4 linked regions of the Sus scrofa genome follow. The protein of the gene in region 3 purifies or fractionates together with the protein of the main gene of each other region. This does not show direct contact. Links are inferred from orthologs where the notes say so. Each region holds a gene or a part of one and is shown on either strand. Other genes may lie near its edges.

Region 1 (3,562 bases), on a different chromosome or scaffold from region 3:
GAAAGGCTGGTTCCGGCGCAGGTGGAGGCCCTGCCGACAGGGCTGCCGCATGGGAAGGCCGTGTCTGCTCTCTTGGAGGCCTTCCCCCCAACCAGCGCCGAAAACCAAACGCACAGACTAACCACGTGAGGCGGTTTCAAAGCACGAATGAATTCACTGGTTTGCTGGTAGTCCGTGTGAGCAGAGAAAGAGATGTAATCGACAGACATCTTCAGCGGCAGCTTCTGTCCAGACATGGTAGTGATTTCTTCCGGTTCAGACATGATATGCTGTTAAAAACAAAGAAAGTAAACAAAATAAGACAAACTAGCCAATTAAGGAAGAAAAGGTACATTTTCTACTTTCTCACACACTAAACTCTTAGGCTAACCTAGGACCCGCAGCGCAAAAATCACTCTGACGCGACTGACCTAGTAAATATCCATCAAGCAAACACTGCCTGAGGAAAGGAAGCAGACGAACAAAAATTCAAAGTATTTGGAGTCCTAGAAGTGAAAATTTCAACTCTCGTGGCTAGAAAAATACCCTTATATCCTCAACGATCTGCTCTAAAAAGTCACTTTCCAGGAGGTGGCGTGGCTCAGTGGGTTAAGAGCTTGACTAGTATCCGTGAGGATGCAGGTTTGACCCTGACTTCATTCAGTGGGTTAAGGATCTGGCATTGCCTCAAGTGGTGGCATAGGTCAAAGATGTGGCTCGGATCCAGCATTGCTGCGGCTGTGGTGTGTGGGGGCTGGCAGCTGCAGCTCTGGTTTGACCCCTACCCTGGGAACTTCCATATGTCGTGGGTGTGGCCCTAAAAAAAAACGTCATTTTCCAAGTATGACGATCCCACGAAGGACAAGTGTATTTCTGTTGTGGAAACGGACTTTAAATTCATAGCCAACACTGCCTAAACAACTTACAGAATAAGGTTAAGGTAATAAAAATGATCAAAGCAGAGAATCACAATGTATTTAAAAAATAAAACAGGAGTTCCCATCGTGGCGCAGTGCAAACAAATCCGACTAGGAATCATGAGGTTGCGGGTTCGATCCCTGGCCTTGCTCAGTGGGTTAGGGATCTGGCATTGCTGTGGCTGTGCTCCAGCTCCAATTAGACCCCTAGCCTGGGAACCTCCATATGCTGCACGTGTGGTCCTAAAAAGACAAAAGGCAAAAATAGATAAAGCAGAAGTTGTTGCTGGAGAATGTGATGCGTGTGAAGGTTCAGACATTGCCTCTCAAGTGTGGAAGTTTTGCACATCAATGTCCACATCCCTCGGGGTCAATATCGATCATTTTGTATCAACAGGAAGACGGGCGATCAACTCAAAACGCATTCCCCAGCTTTTCAAGAGAACACAGGCAGAAGTTCCCGGGCCAGGGACTCACACTTTACCACAGCTGCAACCAGAGCCGCAGCAGTGACAATGCCGGAACCTTAACCCACTGTGCCGCCAGGGAACTCCCCAGACCTGTATTATTCAAAGAACTGCTTCCCTGGAAAACCTGGGGGGAGGCTGCCACCTCCGCGGCCTCGATGCGGAATGACAGGACGCTTCAGGGCTCTGACTGACCTTGGCGAGCGTCCCCTCCACACAGTATCCGGCTATAATGACGCCATTCCTCTTATCGGTGCACCAGCTTTCGAAGAGCTCTCTGGATAAGCCGCTCTGCATCATGCCTGGGGAGGCCATTACGACGCTGGGGCCAATGTCATCGAAATGATCCATGCTCTGAGAGAGGAGAGGGAATGGTAAAGCATGCGAACTGCCAGGCTCGGGCAAAAGCATTCTTCCTTACAAAGAAGAGCAGAAAGTGAGCCAAAAGATGAACCTCTCGACTGGAAGGGCCCTGACAAGACTAGCGAACACCTTAAGTCCCGTTTCCAAGTCCCGGAACGGTTGAGGCTGGGAGTGAACGGAAGACAAAATGATGCAAAGCAGTCTGTTCACACTGACCTTCCAAACCTTCCACGACAGCTAAGGGACCACGAGCCCCATTTTCAGTGCCTGCAGGCGGGCAAGCCGGCGGTTAAAGGACCAGTCAGATGGGCTTCTGTCCTCCTAAGACAGACTCTGAAAGACTTCCTCGAGATTCCCACGGCTTCGCTTACTTCCCCAATGTTTTGAGCTACCCTCAAAGTTTATCACTGCTTCCAGGGAAAACCTGGCTCTCTAGTTCCCAGGCAATTAACTTAAAAAGCAAGACTTTACAAATAGCCTATGTATAGCCAGAAAACCACGTATAACTTGAATTATGTGGAGTATCATTTTATTATGATTAGAGCATTACTTTGAATGACATTTTTTTTAATTAAAGAAAATCAGATTTTACTGAATGCGCTAGAGAAGTAAACATGAAAATCTGCATGTATAGAATTTGTAGTGCTAACCGGAAAGATGATTAGCTTTGAGTAAGAAGAGGAAAATATGGCATACCAGACAGTTTTCTCATCGGGACTTTTCACTTCTATGGCAGAAAATTCTATTATTTAGCAACAGTAAACTGGAGAACTTACAGAGAAATGGAACAAGTGGGAACACTGGTTTAAGCAAAAGAGAATGCCAGGAATTCCCACTGTGGCTCAGCGGTAATGAACCTGACTAGTACCCATGAGGATGAGAGTTCGATGCCTGGCCTCGCTCAGTGAATTACGGATCCGGCGTTGCCATGAGCTGTGGTGTAGGTTGCAGACGCAGGGTGCAGATCGGGTGTTGCTGTGGCTCTGGTGTAGGCTGGCGGCTGCAGTTCCGATTCGACCCCTAGCCTGGGAACGTCCACGTGCCGTGGGCGTGGCCCTAAAAAGGAAATAAAAAGAATGCCAGTGGCGGAATAGCTGACTTCCTTCAGAAGAGTGAAGCGTGCTTCAGGTAGGCCAGACTCCAGCAGGGATTCAGACACAGCGTCGCCCCCACTCCTGGGACTCCTGTGTTTTGCCCGCCCTCCCTCTTTCTTCACAAGCGCTCACCTTAAGGTTACTAATGTGCTTGAAAACAAAGGGGTTGTTGATGTTGATCTGCTTGCGGATTTTGTCGTTCATGGCGTTGACATACGTCTGGTACACCGCCATACACTTCTTGGCCAGAGAGGAGGCGTAGTATATTGGAATGTCGTGGAGTTCTGGGTGATTCTGCCAGTACTCATCTGGAGAGATGTGACAAGAAACAAATATTTTGTTGTGTGGGGTCAATGGTTCAAATAATAAGTGCTACATATAATTAACTGTTAAAGATTCAGAGAAGAAAGCAATTAAAGCACATAACTGCATTTTAAAGAGGCTAAGAAAAACTAGCCTCTTCCTAACTTGACCTTGTAAAACCCAAACTCGTTTCCAAGTGTTAATGCATGACCGAAACATCGTGCTCTCGAGCTCCTGCTGTGGTGCAGCGGGTTAAGGAGCTGGTGAGGTCTCTGCAGTGGCTCAGGGCTGCTGAGACGCAGGTTTGACCTCTGGTCCGGCACAGTGGGTTAAAGACCCAGCGTTGCTGCAGCTGTGGGGGAGGTTGGAGCCGCAGCTCATATTCGATCCCTGGCCCAGGACTCCCATATTCTTCAGGCGTGGCCAATGAAAGAAAATA
Region 2 (4,000 bases), on a different chromosome or scaffold from region 3:
CAGCCATTCCTGGCAGAATGAGGCATATATGCTGAGACCAGTCATTACTCAGGGCTTTCGGAGAACCTCCTACAAGCCAGATGCTTTCAAGGAGTTAGGAGTGGTTGGGCGCAGGAAGGATGGAGCCCAAGTGACAGAAATTAATTTCTCCCTGCTCAGACTGTGCAGAGGGTGAATTCAGGGGCACTTGAACCTGAGGCAGGGGGAGGGAATGATCCCACAGGAAGCACAAACAAGCAAACGGGGACCCCGAGGAGGAAGAGGTGGGCGCTCAGAGACCCTCCTGGAGGGAAGAGCATAACTGATGACGCAGGAGCGTGACTGCTCTTAATAAGCGGCAGCAACACACAATTCAATGTTCCACAGATACAGCTGGTTCACGGGAGGGGAGCAGGAGAAGGAAGGCCAAGCACAGAGAAGTCAGTGGGGTGCAGGGCTGTAATAAGGAGCCCAGGAATTCACCCGCCATGGCCACCAGGAGAAAGCATCTGTGGCTTCAGTTTTCTCTATCAGTGGGCATTTTAGAAATGCTCAAAACCCACCACGAGCATCTCTTACGTGTCTTCCCCTGCAAACTTTCAAGAGCTCTATTGGCTTCTTAGAAGCAGGTCTATTTTGCTAGGACAGATTTAAGGTTACAGAAGTGGGCGTCAGAGGTGTGCATTTCAGAAAAGTCCGAGAAGTCTTACATTAAAAAATCTTTTAAGGAGTTCCCCTCGTGGCTCAGCGGAAATGAATCTGACTAGGAACCATGAGGCTGCTGGTTCAATCCCTGGCCTCCCCCAGTGGGTCAAGGATCTGGCATTGCCGTGGCTGTGGCACAGGACAGCAGCTATAGCTATGATTCAAACCCTAGCCTGGGAATCTCCATATGCCTCGGGTGCAGCCCTAAAAAGAAAAAAGAAAAGAAAAAAAAAAAAAGTTATCATTTAAGAGTACTTTGAGCCTTCGTTCTTTTCAGAGGTTTAAGGTTGTTTTATTCCTTAAATGCCAAAGTCCACAGTGCTGGGGACGGGGTCTGAGGCGGACATGATAAAGAAATGTGCCTTCAGGACAGAACCCATAGATCCTTCTTGTATTAAGACAGAAATCAAGTGCAAGGACGAGGGGGAGGAAGGGCTGTGGCCTCCCTGGGCTCTGACACACTGACCGTGATCTCGGGCAGGCGGTGAGTGCTGAGGCCCTGGGCTGGGGCAGTACCTGTGGCTAGGCAGGTCCTGGACCCTCTCCAAGCACAGATCTGAGGGCCCCTCACCGCTGCACCTGCCCTCCCGGGCTCAGGTATCTGTGGTTCCAGGCTGGAGGGCGGAGGGAGAAAGAGCTGCCCAGTATGGATGGTTCCTTGGTCTCGAGCTAGTGCCATCAGCAGAGGAAGAGGCCACGGGTGTGAGGGTAGATGTCTGTGTATAAGCATGAAGTGATCACCTGCACTGACCGGTTTAAGGGTCTGGGCAGCGGCTTGTAAGCCGTATGCAGTGGAGACAGCGTTTGTATGTGTATAGAAAGTAACTGCTGCTAAAGGTACGTCTCTTGTGTACATGCATTATCTTATACAGAAACGTCAGCGTAAGAGGGACAACTCAGAGGTCACACGTGCATGAGAAGTGTGGCCACTTGAGGGGAATGAGGCCGCAGGGAGGCTCCGCTAGTCCAGGGACAGGTAGGAGAATGTGGCACTGTGGTCCATGTCCTCTGGCAGTTAGGGGGACGGCACAGGGAGCCACAGATAGAAGGGTCAAGAAGCCTGGCGAGCTCATCTGGCTCCATCAGGCGCTGAGCAGTCTTTGGCCAGTCCCTTCCCCAGCCCAGGGCTCAGGTGCTTCATCTGTGGCTTGAACTCAATGACTGACCCCTAAGAGCCCTCTGAGCTTTAACTTACAGCATTAAATTTCAAGTATCTCTGAGAAAGAAAGAGGAAAAGATAACTGCCGCCACGTGAAGAGGGAGAGTGAAGGACACTTGGGCGGCTGCCTGGGTGTGAGGAATGACCCAGAGGTGGGGTCCAGAGAAACAGTGAGGAATGGGCTCCCAGGAGCGCGAGTCCTAGGAGAAAAACGGAGCTTGAGCGCCTCATTGGGGGTCTCCTACAGAGTAAGGGGTGGGTCCTTCCCTCTGCAAGACTCTCCCAACGGCCCGGTTTTGATGAAAGCAAGAAGAGACCGCCCAAAGTGGGGGGCTGGAAATGGGGAAAGGGGATATCTTGGTACTTTTCTGTAGTTGGGGAGCGTGTTCGAGTGGGGGCAGTATTTCCAATACACGATACCCGCTTTCATTCAAGAATTATTTGATGGGCGGGACGTGGTCCTGCCCTAGCCTTAGGCTAGCTCTCAGGGGTCGAAGATCGGGGAAGAGGGGCTCCTTAGTCCAAATGACGGGAGAAGGTGGGGTGGGGGTCCCAGGATTTGGGGAAAGCAGTCCCAGGACCGAGGGGGAGGAGCTCCCGAACTGAGGGGCAGGGCGTCCTGGAACTACAGCGGCGGGGGTGGGGGGGGGGTCCCGGAGCCAAGTCCATCGCGCCCTCGCCCTCCTCCCGGACCCTGCGCTCACTGTCCATGCCGGGGAAGGGCAGCGGCTGCGCTCCGAGCTGCTGCTCCACTGCGATCTCCAAGTCGAACTTGATATGGTCCACGCTGGCGATGATTTCCTGCATGGCGGCGGCGGCGGCCACACCGGCCCGGCTCCCGCTCAGGTTCCTCGTCTCCCTCACACCTCTACCCGCCGCAGACCCGCCGCACACTGTCCTCCGCCGCCTCGCCGCTGCCGCCAACACCGGCGCCACCGCCGCCGCCGCCCAAGGGATGCCGGGAGCACCCAGAGCCCGCGCCAGCCCTTTCGCTCCAGACCGGGCCAATCAAGCGCAGAGTACAGGCGGCTCTGCTAGGCCCGGCTAGCCGCTCGCCGAACTCTCACCTCTCCTCGCCGCTGCCGGCGACCAAGAAACCTAGCGCGCCAGGAGTTCGCGACGGAGACTGCGCCTGCGCGAGGTCGGCCGAGGCGCTCCTCTGGGAAGGCGGTGGGGACGGTGAGCCGGGGTTCGAGGCGCGGCTGGGATGGCGCTAGGGGTGACGCGGGACGGGCGCGGGGCAGGGGGCGCGGGCGGAGACCGAGGTGGGCCGCGTTCACTGGGCCGCAGTCCTGGGGCGAGTGCCTGTTTGACTCTCACAGGAGCCCGGGCCCCGGGTCGGGACGGGCCAGAGGGTCAGCGAGGGTCGCAGCCAGGGTCGGAGCCGTTGGGTCGGCTGAGGAAACAGAGGATCGAGGGGAGCCTGGGAGAGGGGTCAGCTTGAGGGTCTCCGGGCGTCTGGGGAGCGGCGGGGCCCCGTGTCTGCAATACGGTTTATTAATCTGGGCAGGTGGGGAGAACGAAATTGCCCCTTTCACGACTGACCGAGGGGCGTTCGCTGTGCCCAAAGGATGTCGTGGTTTCAAGTAGGGATGAGTGTAATGATGGTTGGAGACAGGGTCTTTGCAGCTACTACAGACTTTTTTTATTTTATTTTAATTAAAAAATTTTTTTTTAATTACTTTTTTTTTTTTTTTTTTTGTCCTTTGCCCTTTTAGGGCCTCACCTGCGGCCTATGGAGGATCCCAGGCGAGGGGTCTAATCGGAGCTGTTGCTGCCCGCCTACACCACAGCTCACGGCAACGCGGGGTCCCCAACCCATTGAGCGAGGCCAGGGATCGAACCCGCAACCTTATGGTTCCCAGTCTGATTCGTTTCCTCTGTGCCACAACAGAAACTCCTGCTACAAACTTTTATACTGTTTTAAGATGACGATCCGACGTTGTTATTTAATGGTTGAAAAAGAAGCATTTATTTGAGTAAGCATGTTTAAAAAACATGGGGGCACCTATTTCAATATCGGTAATTAAAATTCTGTGTTTTAATTCATGTATGTAAACACTTTCTTTACTGTGGGTACTTGAAAATTTTAAGTTACGTACGTGCTCACATTACATTTCTGGTGGAGCCTCACCAGGTGCAGAATGTAAAGGGCTT
Region 3 (3,562 bases):
CTGCTGGGCCTGGGGTGACAACCCTTAGAGCTTAGCAGACACCGAGGAGGAGCTATCGGGGGAAGGGCTGATTTGGGGGTTTAGCCCTGCCCATGCGTGGGCAGAGCCTGGTGGGCTCAGGGGCCTCACCGGCTGTTCGATGACCCTTAGCACAGTCCTCTTGATGTCGGCGATGGCCTCCGTGTATACGGCTGCCAGCTCGTGGATGAGCTTGTGGTTCTGAGGCAGGAGAGCCAGGTAGAGGTACAAACACTGCTTTACTGTCTCCTCGGTCCAGGGCGCTGCCACCTCTGGTAAGGCAGGAGGTGAAGATCAGGTGAGGCCTGCTCCCCTCCCACCCTCAGGGTCTGGTCCTTCTTGGGAGGCAGGCACAGGAGGGAGCTGAGCTGGGAAGCAAAAGTCCCCAGGGCAGGAAGCCTGTCCTCTAGGAGGTGGGGGTGGAAGCGGGACGGCTCCCCTTCCGCAAGTCTCGGCACTCAGTGCCCACCTTGTCTCCTCTGACCACCAGTCCACGAGGCAGCCAGAGAGATCTTCCTAAGTGCAGTTCTGACCCTGTCCCTCTCCTGTTCAGTGCTCCCACAACTGTCCTGTGCTCTCAGGACAAGCCCCCAGATCCTCGCCCTGCTCTACCTGACAGGTCCTGGTCAGGGCAGCCCTGCCTCTGGGGCCCTGCACTCTGGTCACACCCCACTTCAGACAGACCCCAAGGCCTCCACTTTGGAGCCTCTACACGTGCTGCTGTCACCAAGAACACTGCCGCCCAACTCCTCTTGTGGTGCCTCCTCATCCTCTGGGTCTCACACCCTCTGGGTTCCCAACACTCAGGCTGCTCCAGGGCTCCTGTGCTCCTAGAAGGCCCCGTGCTTCCTGCCACAGCCTCCAATTTATGGTCCATCCTCTTGGGGCCAGAGTCTCCCCATCTGGCACACGGAGGACCCAGAGCTCTGCTGAGTGAGTGGGCCTGATATGATCCTGCCTGGAGCTGCATCACTGGCAAGCTGTCCTTGTCCTCGGCTTTCACCCAGCTGTCCCCACACCTCCAGGACCCTCTCCCTGACCCATCAGGCTGGGCCAGGCACCCCCTCTGGGCTCCCACAGACCCCTGATTTTGCCACCCAAAGCCTGCTTGTTTCGGTTACTGCTGTCTAGCTGTCTTCTCTAGCAGGCTCTGACCCCAGGGCCCAGTCCAGAGCCTGGGACGCAGCAGGTGCTCAACACACCCCTGAAGAACCTGTACCAAACCTGTGTCTTTGTCGGCTCCAAACAGCACAGATGGTGGGTTGGGGTGGACCAAGAGCTGCAGGTAGTTGAGGGCAAACTTCTCCACATACTCTCGCAGCTGCTCCTTCTCGTACATGCGCTTGATGAACAGCAAGGCTTGGGAACGTACCTGAGGAGAGAGGAGGGCAAGGTGGTGGAGGGGGCAACAGCTGTCCTGAGCTTGGCAGCCAGTGTGAAAACAAGCCCAAGTCTGAGGAAGGCCTGGCCTAGCTGAGTTACCTGTGCCCAAGACTGGCTTGGGAGGGAGGTTTCCTGGCCCAGCTGAGGGCCCTGCATCACCTCGCCATCTACTTGCCTGGCTCCATTCTTATCACGTCTGGCCCTGCTTGCCCTGCTCCAACCAGGAGCTTTCCTCAGTTCCTCACAAGTGGCGGCCTTCTCCCTGGCACTGAGACTTGGCACACAAAGTTCCCACTGCCTGGACTGCCTGTCGCTGGCTATATCCTGCTGGGAGCCAAGAGGACAGAGCCTGGTCTGGGGCATTGCTTTGTTCCCAGCAGCACCCCAGGGCCGAGCCAGAGTGTGCAGTCAGGGTCTGCTGAATGAACGGACACAAGACACCAGAAAGGAGCGGGTTGAAGGCAGGAGCAGGGATGGTCGCGGGCCCTCTCCATCACACCGAGGCACATCTGACCAGGGCGCAGCCATCTACTCCTACTGCAGGTCTTGGCTCACACGTCCCGACTCCGGGAGGCTTCCTTAAACCACCCCCTCCCCAACCCCCTCGCCAGGGCTTTGCAGTCACACACTACTCCACTCCTGGCACTGAACACATGGTGTCTGCTGGTAGGTCACACTGGCTCCTCCCAGGTCCCAGCACAGTGGGGCCTTAAGAGGGGCGTACAACACAGGCAGAATAAGAGCGAGAACGGGCCTGCCCTGCTTGGGGTGTGAGTATATATATGTGTGTACCTTCTAAGCAGCTTCACGCCATCATAAATGGAAAAACCACCACCACCACCAAAAGACTGTTGTAAGATGCACATTAAGCCCAGAAAGTTTCAGGGGAGTGTGGAAAAGGCTGGGCTGGTTACTCGGGACAGAGGAAGGACTGAGTGGAGCACAGCACAGGGCGGTGGGGGATCACCTTGTCCTTCTCATGCGAGCTGAGGTCTAGCAGGACGTGCAGGTACTGGAACTGACGGGATGGGCGCTTGAAGATCAGGTCTCGAAGAGTGGACATGCCCAGGTAGGTGCGGCTCTGCGGCAGGAAGGAGGGGAACCAGAGCTCAAGGCCCCTGCAGGGCACCACTGGGAGGTCTCCCCTGCCTCAGCCAGACCTGGGACTGGACCAGAGCATCCGGTCCCTCCCAGAACCCCCTGCCTGTACCATGATGCTCGGAGTGGCGGGAGATCTGCCGCCTGTCCTCACCTCATCCTCACAGTACTTGCGAATCACCTCCAGGGCACTCTCCGTGATGAGTGGCGCCTCCAGCACGACCTTGGTGAAGATCCTGCCAGAGAGGGGGGGTAGGGAACGGCTGGCTTCCCTATCCTGCTGATCATAGCTCAGAACTGAAAGTGCCCCCCTCCAACAGCTTGCTCAACCCCCTGGATACAGAGCTCTGGAAGCAACAGAGCAGGGTTCAGACACTGCCAGGTGGGTGTCCTGGGCAGAGACGACCTCTTGGAAACTCAGTTGCTCCCATTTTTCAAATGGAGATTCCTAGCTTGTTTAATATAGCAATGGGAGGGGATGACGGGAGGCTGTTCTTTGAGATGTGGTGACCAGAAAAGGCTGCTTGGAGATAACAGTTGTCAATGCTGGCAAAGGAGAAAGAGCCAGCCACGGAAGAAGTAGGGGGAGAGCATTCCAGGTAGAGCAGAGTGAGTCTATCAGAGGAACAGGAGACTGAAGGCCAGCGAGCTAAAGTTCGGGGGCAGTGAAATGCAGGGAGGCAAAAAAGAGGCTGAAGAGGTTGGCGTGGACTGGATTATACACGGTCTCATAGGACACAGTAAGGAGGTGCATTTTAGCTGAGGACAATGGAAGGTTTTTAGTGGGGAAATAACAAGACACGGTTTACATTTATAAAGTGTCACCTGAGCTGCTATGTGGAGAATGAATAAGCTGGAAATCCAGGACACGGAGGAAGCTACAGAACCGATGTGGGCAAGAGGTGGGGATGGTGAGAAGTCAACCTCGGGAACCAGCCTCCAAAGCAGACGCTGTTACTCGTCATGTATTATATGAGAAAATGGAGGCTCAGAGGGTAAGTGACACAGGTCAGAGAGCAAGCAGCAGAGCCAGAGAACAAGCCCGGGGCACAGGGCTCCAAGC
Region 4 (4,281 bases), on a different chromosome or scaffold from region 3:
GCATCCTCGGGACTGATGGTCTCTCCATAAGGTGACTCAATGACAGGGGCACCAGTGCCAAGACCTGATTGGGAAGAAAGTACAAGAAAGTTAAGGAGGCAGTATAAAGAGCTAAACGATTTCAAGTATCTACTCTTTACAGAGTTGCTGTAAGACCCTGTTGATAACTTTAAATTTTCTGGAGCTGAGAAATAAGTGATTTTCAAGTCTCATATTTCTGTGGAGGAAAGTGACAGAGTGTATCTTCTGCTCTCAGAGGAAAGCTGGCACCAGGGTCACAGAAGTGAACAATATTAACTTAAATTAGGGGCTAGGCATATCCATTTCCTTTTACAAATCATTTCATAAGCAAAATGTTTCTTTTTTTTTTTTTTACAATTTTTTTTAATTGTTATTTCCCCAATACAATTTTTTTTTTCTACTGTGACCCAGTTAAAAGGGTTTAATTCTAATTTCAAAATGGAATTTCTGGATTCTGTTACTTCATGAAAAAAAAAGCCACGAGAATGCCTTGGTATCCTTACCAGTTATAGATCTGGTAACATAATTATAGGAGTGGCGGACACTAATGACAGACATAGTTAGCACTACTAACGGCTTCCTGAGCCTGTAATTCATCTTCAGCTGGAAATCAATTCCTTGGTAACGGAAGGTCTTAAGTCAACTTTACTTATTTCTCAAAGGTGTACACTGCCCTAATGCAGGCAGCTCTCAGATGGCTCAAATAAAGATGTTGTGTAGCTGAAAACCATTTCAGCAGATGCTAAAACATATGATTATGTGGCAAATCTCCATTGTTACATCTTTACTAACTCATGTTGCATACAGCTTGGGTTTTTACTCACTCTTCAGCTCCTCTTTGTTCTTTTCGCTGGCAGCATTGTCCACTCGAAGTGCTCTCCCACTGAATTCACGCCCATTTAGGTTTCGCATGGCACTAAGTGCTGTCTCCTGGTCTTGGTATTCACAGAAGCCATAACCCTTTGGTTTTCCTGTCTCCCTATCATATACCAACCTGGAGAGCAGAACCAAGTATCAGGCATGAATGTTATATACATGCAGGTTTTCCACTAACATTGCTGTGTTCTAATGTGGTTTACTTTAAGACAACCTTACTGCTCCGTGTCACTGAAATATTTTTTACACATCTTTCTAAATGGGAAAAAAAGGTAACTTTTAGGAGTTATCTTGTGGCACAGTGGGTTAAGGATCCAATGTTGTCACTGCAGCAGTTTGGCTCACTGCTGTGGTGCAGATTGGATCCCTGGCCTGGGAACTTCCATATGCCAGGGGTGGGCCAAAAAAAAATGTATCTTTTAGCAAAAATGAATGTGAATTATATGGTGTGTGAATTACATCTCAATAAAGCTGTTACAAACAAAAAAGAATTTTTTTGTGCATGTGAAAAGTCACCAATAAAAACTTTGCCATTATTACTAGGGGCCAATTTGTGGTGATTTTTAAGAAATTTCCACCAAGGAGTAAAAGGGGATCTCACCTGAAACTAACAACAGGTCCAACCTCAGAAAAGATGTCCTTTAATTGCTCTTCAGTAGCCTCATAAGGAATGTTCCCCACTAAGGAAGGAAATAGATAATATATTAAAATTCTGAGTTTGTAATCTAGGTCTTTAGTAAGAAAACATTTACATATATCACTGAAAATGTAACAACTGGTTCAAACACAACGTTCCTCCAATCCCGATTCCATTGTACTCTCTTAGACAAGAATTCAATGGTGTCTACTGACTTTAATTACAAGAGGAATAAACCATTGAGACGAAACACAAAAGGTGTATGCCCTAAGTATTAGTTCTTAGACTGAACTGACAGGTGTTACATTTTTCTTAAGTATGGTGAAAATAAATATTTAGGCATTGGTATTTACCTGAAAGTCTGCAAGTCATAAATAACTGCTAAAAATGTCAATATTATAATATATGAAGCCGGCTCCTATGCCAGTATTTCCACATATACACACACTCAAAGGAGAATGACCACGAATGTCGTAGAGGATGTTTAAAAGTTATTCTGAACTATTTTGTCATGTCCCTCCCAAAAGGTGCTTTAAAATCGCCAGATACTTTTAAAAATCAACTTATTTCGGCCTGAAAGATTGCTCAGAATAGACTCGACCCTCTTTAAAATTTCTCTGAATAGGTCTTAATCATTCATTCATTCATTTATTTACAGTTCACCTTAAGACGCCGGGTGGCCACTACCACTAACGACGAACTAAAATGTGAAAAGCAGAGGATGAAAGCCCTTATGAGAGGGCGGGAAGTGGACAGAAAGATCTATATCCTCAGCATATAAACTGTATTCTGGGATAGGGGGTGAGTAGTACGGGGCAGTTGCCATGAGCCCTCGCTTCTATATAATAATTGAGGCTCACGAAAGGAAAACGCATAGAAGCTGAACGCTAGTTTAACTTCCTCGGCCACATCTTGCAAAGGCTTTGAGGCCTCGGGGGAAGGGGAGCATCACTTTGCCCACGAGCCCACCAAGCTGGCCGCCCGACAGGACAGGCAGGTCGAGCGCAAGCCCGACCCATCACCGGCTCCTGCAGCGATTCATGAGATGCAGGACGGCATTCCTCGGCGTTCCCTGTCTTTTTCTCTCCCTCCCGGACGCTTGGATCCACCGAATTCCTCTCACCGAACACCGAACGTAGCGAACGGTCCACCGCAGGGTCTCTCACAGTCAAACCCGCCATCGCTCTCTTCCGGGGGCTTCCGGTGCGCCAGAGCACACTTCCGTACGGCGCATGAGCCCAGCGCCGAACACGCTTCTGTACGGCGCGTGAGCCGGACGCTTCTGAGCCGGCCGGACGCAGGGCCCCTCCCCTGGCGTCATTTCGTCATAGCAGGCGCGCGTCACGTCCAGGAGAGCGCTAACTCCCTCCCGGCTGGGCTCCAGCCTGAGAAAAACTACGTTCCGTGTTGGAGCTCGGCTAATTTGAAGGCTTTTAGTCTGCATAATTCTTTATTGTTCATTATTTTCTTAAGCTAACGCAAGTAATTGTCGACCACAATAACGATGGCGGCGGCGGCGGCTTTACCATGGTAACCGGAAAGTCGATAAACGCTGCGTCCCTTTCCTTTTAGTTCCGCCCTGTTAGGGGAGGGGAAATGCTTGGCCCCGCCCCAGCGGGGTGCATTTTTATCCTTTCTCAAAAGCTCTGTACCCACTGAGGGAGATGAGGAAACAGAGTTACGGCACCCTAGAGAATGAGGGGCACCCAATGCCAAAGCGCCAACATACTGAGAAGATGGGGAGGTAAACACAGAACAGACCCCGTCTGCTCTCTTAGCCTGTGGACTTCACGTGCTTGATGGTGAGGGGGCGAGGCCGTGGAGGATGTTGGCTGGCAGGGCATCAGAAAACATTAGAACAGGAAATGTAATTGGCTAGTAGTACGCAATTAGCAACTAAGTCATGATTTGAGCTCAGCTTGCTTTCGCTCCAGAGGCTGAATGCTTAAGTGCCCACCAGTATAACTCAGAGAATTTAACGACGTAACTCTTTTCTTTCTTTGCCATTTTTGGTTAGAGCTTAAGATTTGGTAATAGTGGATTGATGGCCCAGAATAATGAACCGCTGAAGAATAGGTTGAGGCACTTAGCCAGGGCATGTTCTGCCGTCAGCCATTTGTGGAGAATGGACTGTTGATTCTTTCACTTCATTTAACCACCCCTACTGTTTATAAAAGAAGAGGTATGTAAGGGCTATTTCCTAAGCTCGTGGTGTTTTATAATTGGGTTTCAGTTATAGGCCATGTGCTTGTGACCCCATGCCTCATTGCTATTGTCTATGAGGGTCTTCCCTTCATTGCCATACTCCCAGAGTGACACATTTCTTTTGCCTCCAAGTTGTAGCAGAATGAGGACAGGAGGTATTGACTGTTACTGTTGTAGGTATTATGACTGAACCTCAATTAGAACAATGAAGTAGGTGCTGTATGAAGAGGTAGGGGAAAAACTAGGAAAGATGCATTTCTACATAAATGGGACTATTGTTTTTTGGGGCTTTGAGTAGAAGAGAAAGAGTATGTAGTGGAGAATCAAATAATTGGGAAACCACAGGCAAGATTTGTGGCACATTGACAGAAAAAGTTTTGTGGAGAAGTCCTGAGTTCTTATCCAATTTTGTCGGTGACACTAAGAATATTAGACAATGTAGGAGGTAAAGCACACAGAGACATTCAAGACTGTGAATGCTCTGTGAGGACATAGAGACTTGAGTTCTTTCTCCTGGCCATAGAAGATCAAGCTTCCAAGGC

The links.
Region 1: the proteins of SYMPK (region 3) and CPSF3 fractionate together in Homo sapiens (co-fractionation; 6 studies listed by BioGRID and IntAct, with this or other methods). This does not show direct contact. The link is inferred for Sus scrofa from reciprocal best matches to the Homo sapiens genes SYMPK and CPSF3.
Region 2: the proteins of SYMPK (region 3) and CPSF4 purify together in Homo sapiens (affinity purification with mass spectrometry; 4 studies listed by BioGRID and IntAct, counting the BioPlex papers as one, with this or other methods). This does not show direct contact. The link is inferred for Sus scrofa from reciprocal best matches to the Homo sapiens genes SYMPK and CPSF4.
Region 4: the proteins of SYMPK (region 3) and CSTF2 purify together in Homo sapiens (affinity purification with mass spectrometry; 4 studies listed by BioGRID and IntAct, with this or other methods). This does not show direct contact. The link is inferred for Sus scrofa from reciprocal best matches to the Homo sapiens genes SYMPK and CSTF2.

Annotation. Positions count from the first base shown.
Region 1 is NC_010445.4:126,886,247-126,889,808, forward strand, and holds part of CPSF3 (cleavage and polyadenylation specificity factor subunit 3), read right to left. Parts: intron 3,129-3,562; coding exon 2,953-3,128; intron 1,718-2,952; coding exon 1,559-1,717; intron 270-1,558; coding exon 123-269; intron 1-122. UniProt on the Homo sapiens protein: Component of the cleavage and polyadenylation specificity factor (CPSF) complex that plays a key role in pre-mRNA 3'-end formation, recognizing the AAUAAA signal sequence and interacting with poly(A) polymerase and other factors to bring about cleavage and poly(A) addition.
Region 2 is NC_010445.4:6,373,165-6,377,164, reverse strand, and holds the start of CPSF4 (cleavage and polyadenylation specificity factor subunit 4), read right to left. Parts: upstream 2,804-4,000; 5' UTR 2,651-2,803; coding exon 2,548-2,650; intron 1-2,547. UniProt on the Homo sapiens protein: Component of the cleavage and polyadenylation specificity factor (CPSF) complex that play a key role in pre-mRNA 3'-end formation, recognizing the AAUAAA signal sequence and interacting with poly(A) polymerase and other factors to bring about cleavage and poly(A) addition.
Region 3 is NC_010448.4:52,149,383-52,152,944, forward strand, and holds part of SYMPK (symplekin), read right to left. Parts: intron 2,736-3,562; coding exon 2,654-2,735; intron 2,483-2,653; coding exon 2,369-2,482; intron 1,391-2,368; coding exon 1,243-1,390; intron 291-1,242; coding exon 130-290; intron 1-129. UniProt on the Homo sapiens protein: Scaffold protein that functions as a component of a multimolecular complex involved in histone mRNA 3'-end processing. Specific component of the tight junction (TJ) plaque, but might not be an exclusively junctional component. May have a house-keeping rule.
Region 4 is NC_010461.5:82,507,273-82,511,553, reverse strand, and holds the start of CSTF2 (cleavage stimulation factor subunit 2), read right to left. Parts: upstream 2,816-4,281; 5' UTR 2,716-2,815; coding exon 2,658-2,715; intron 1,578-2,657; coding exon 1,499-1,577; intron 1,016-1,498; coding exon 846-1,015; intron 65-845; coding exon 1-64. UniProt on the Homo sapiens protein: One of the multiple factors required for polyadenylation and 3'-end cleavage of mammalian pre-mRNAs. This subunit is directly involved in the binding to pre-mRNAs.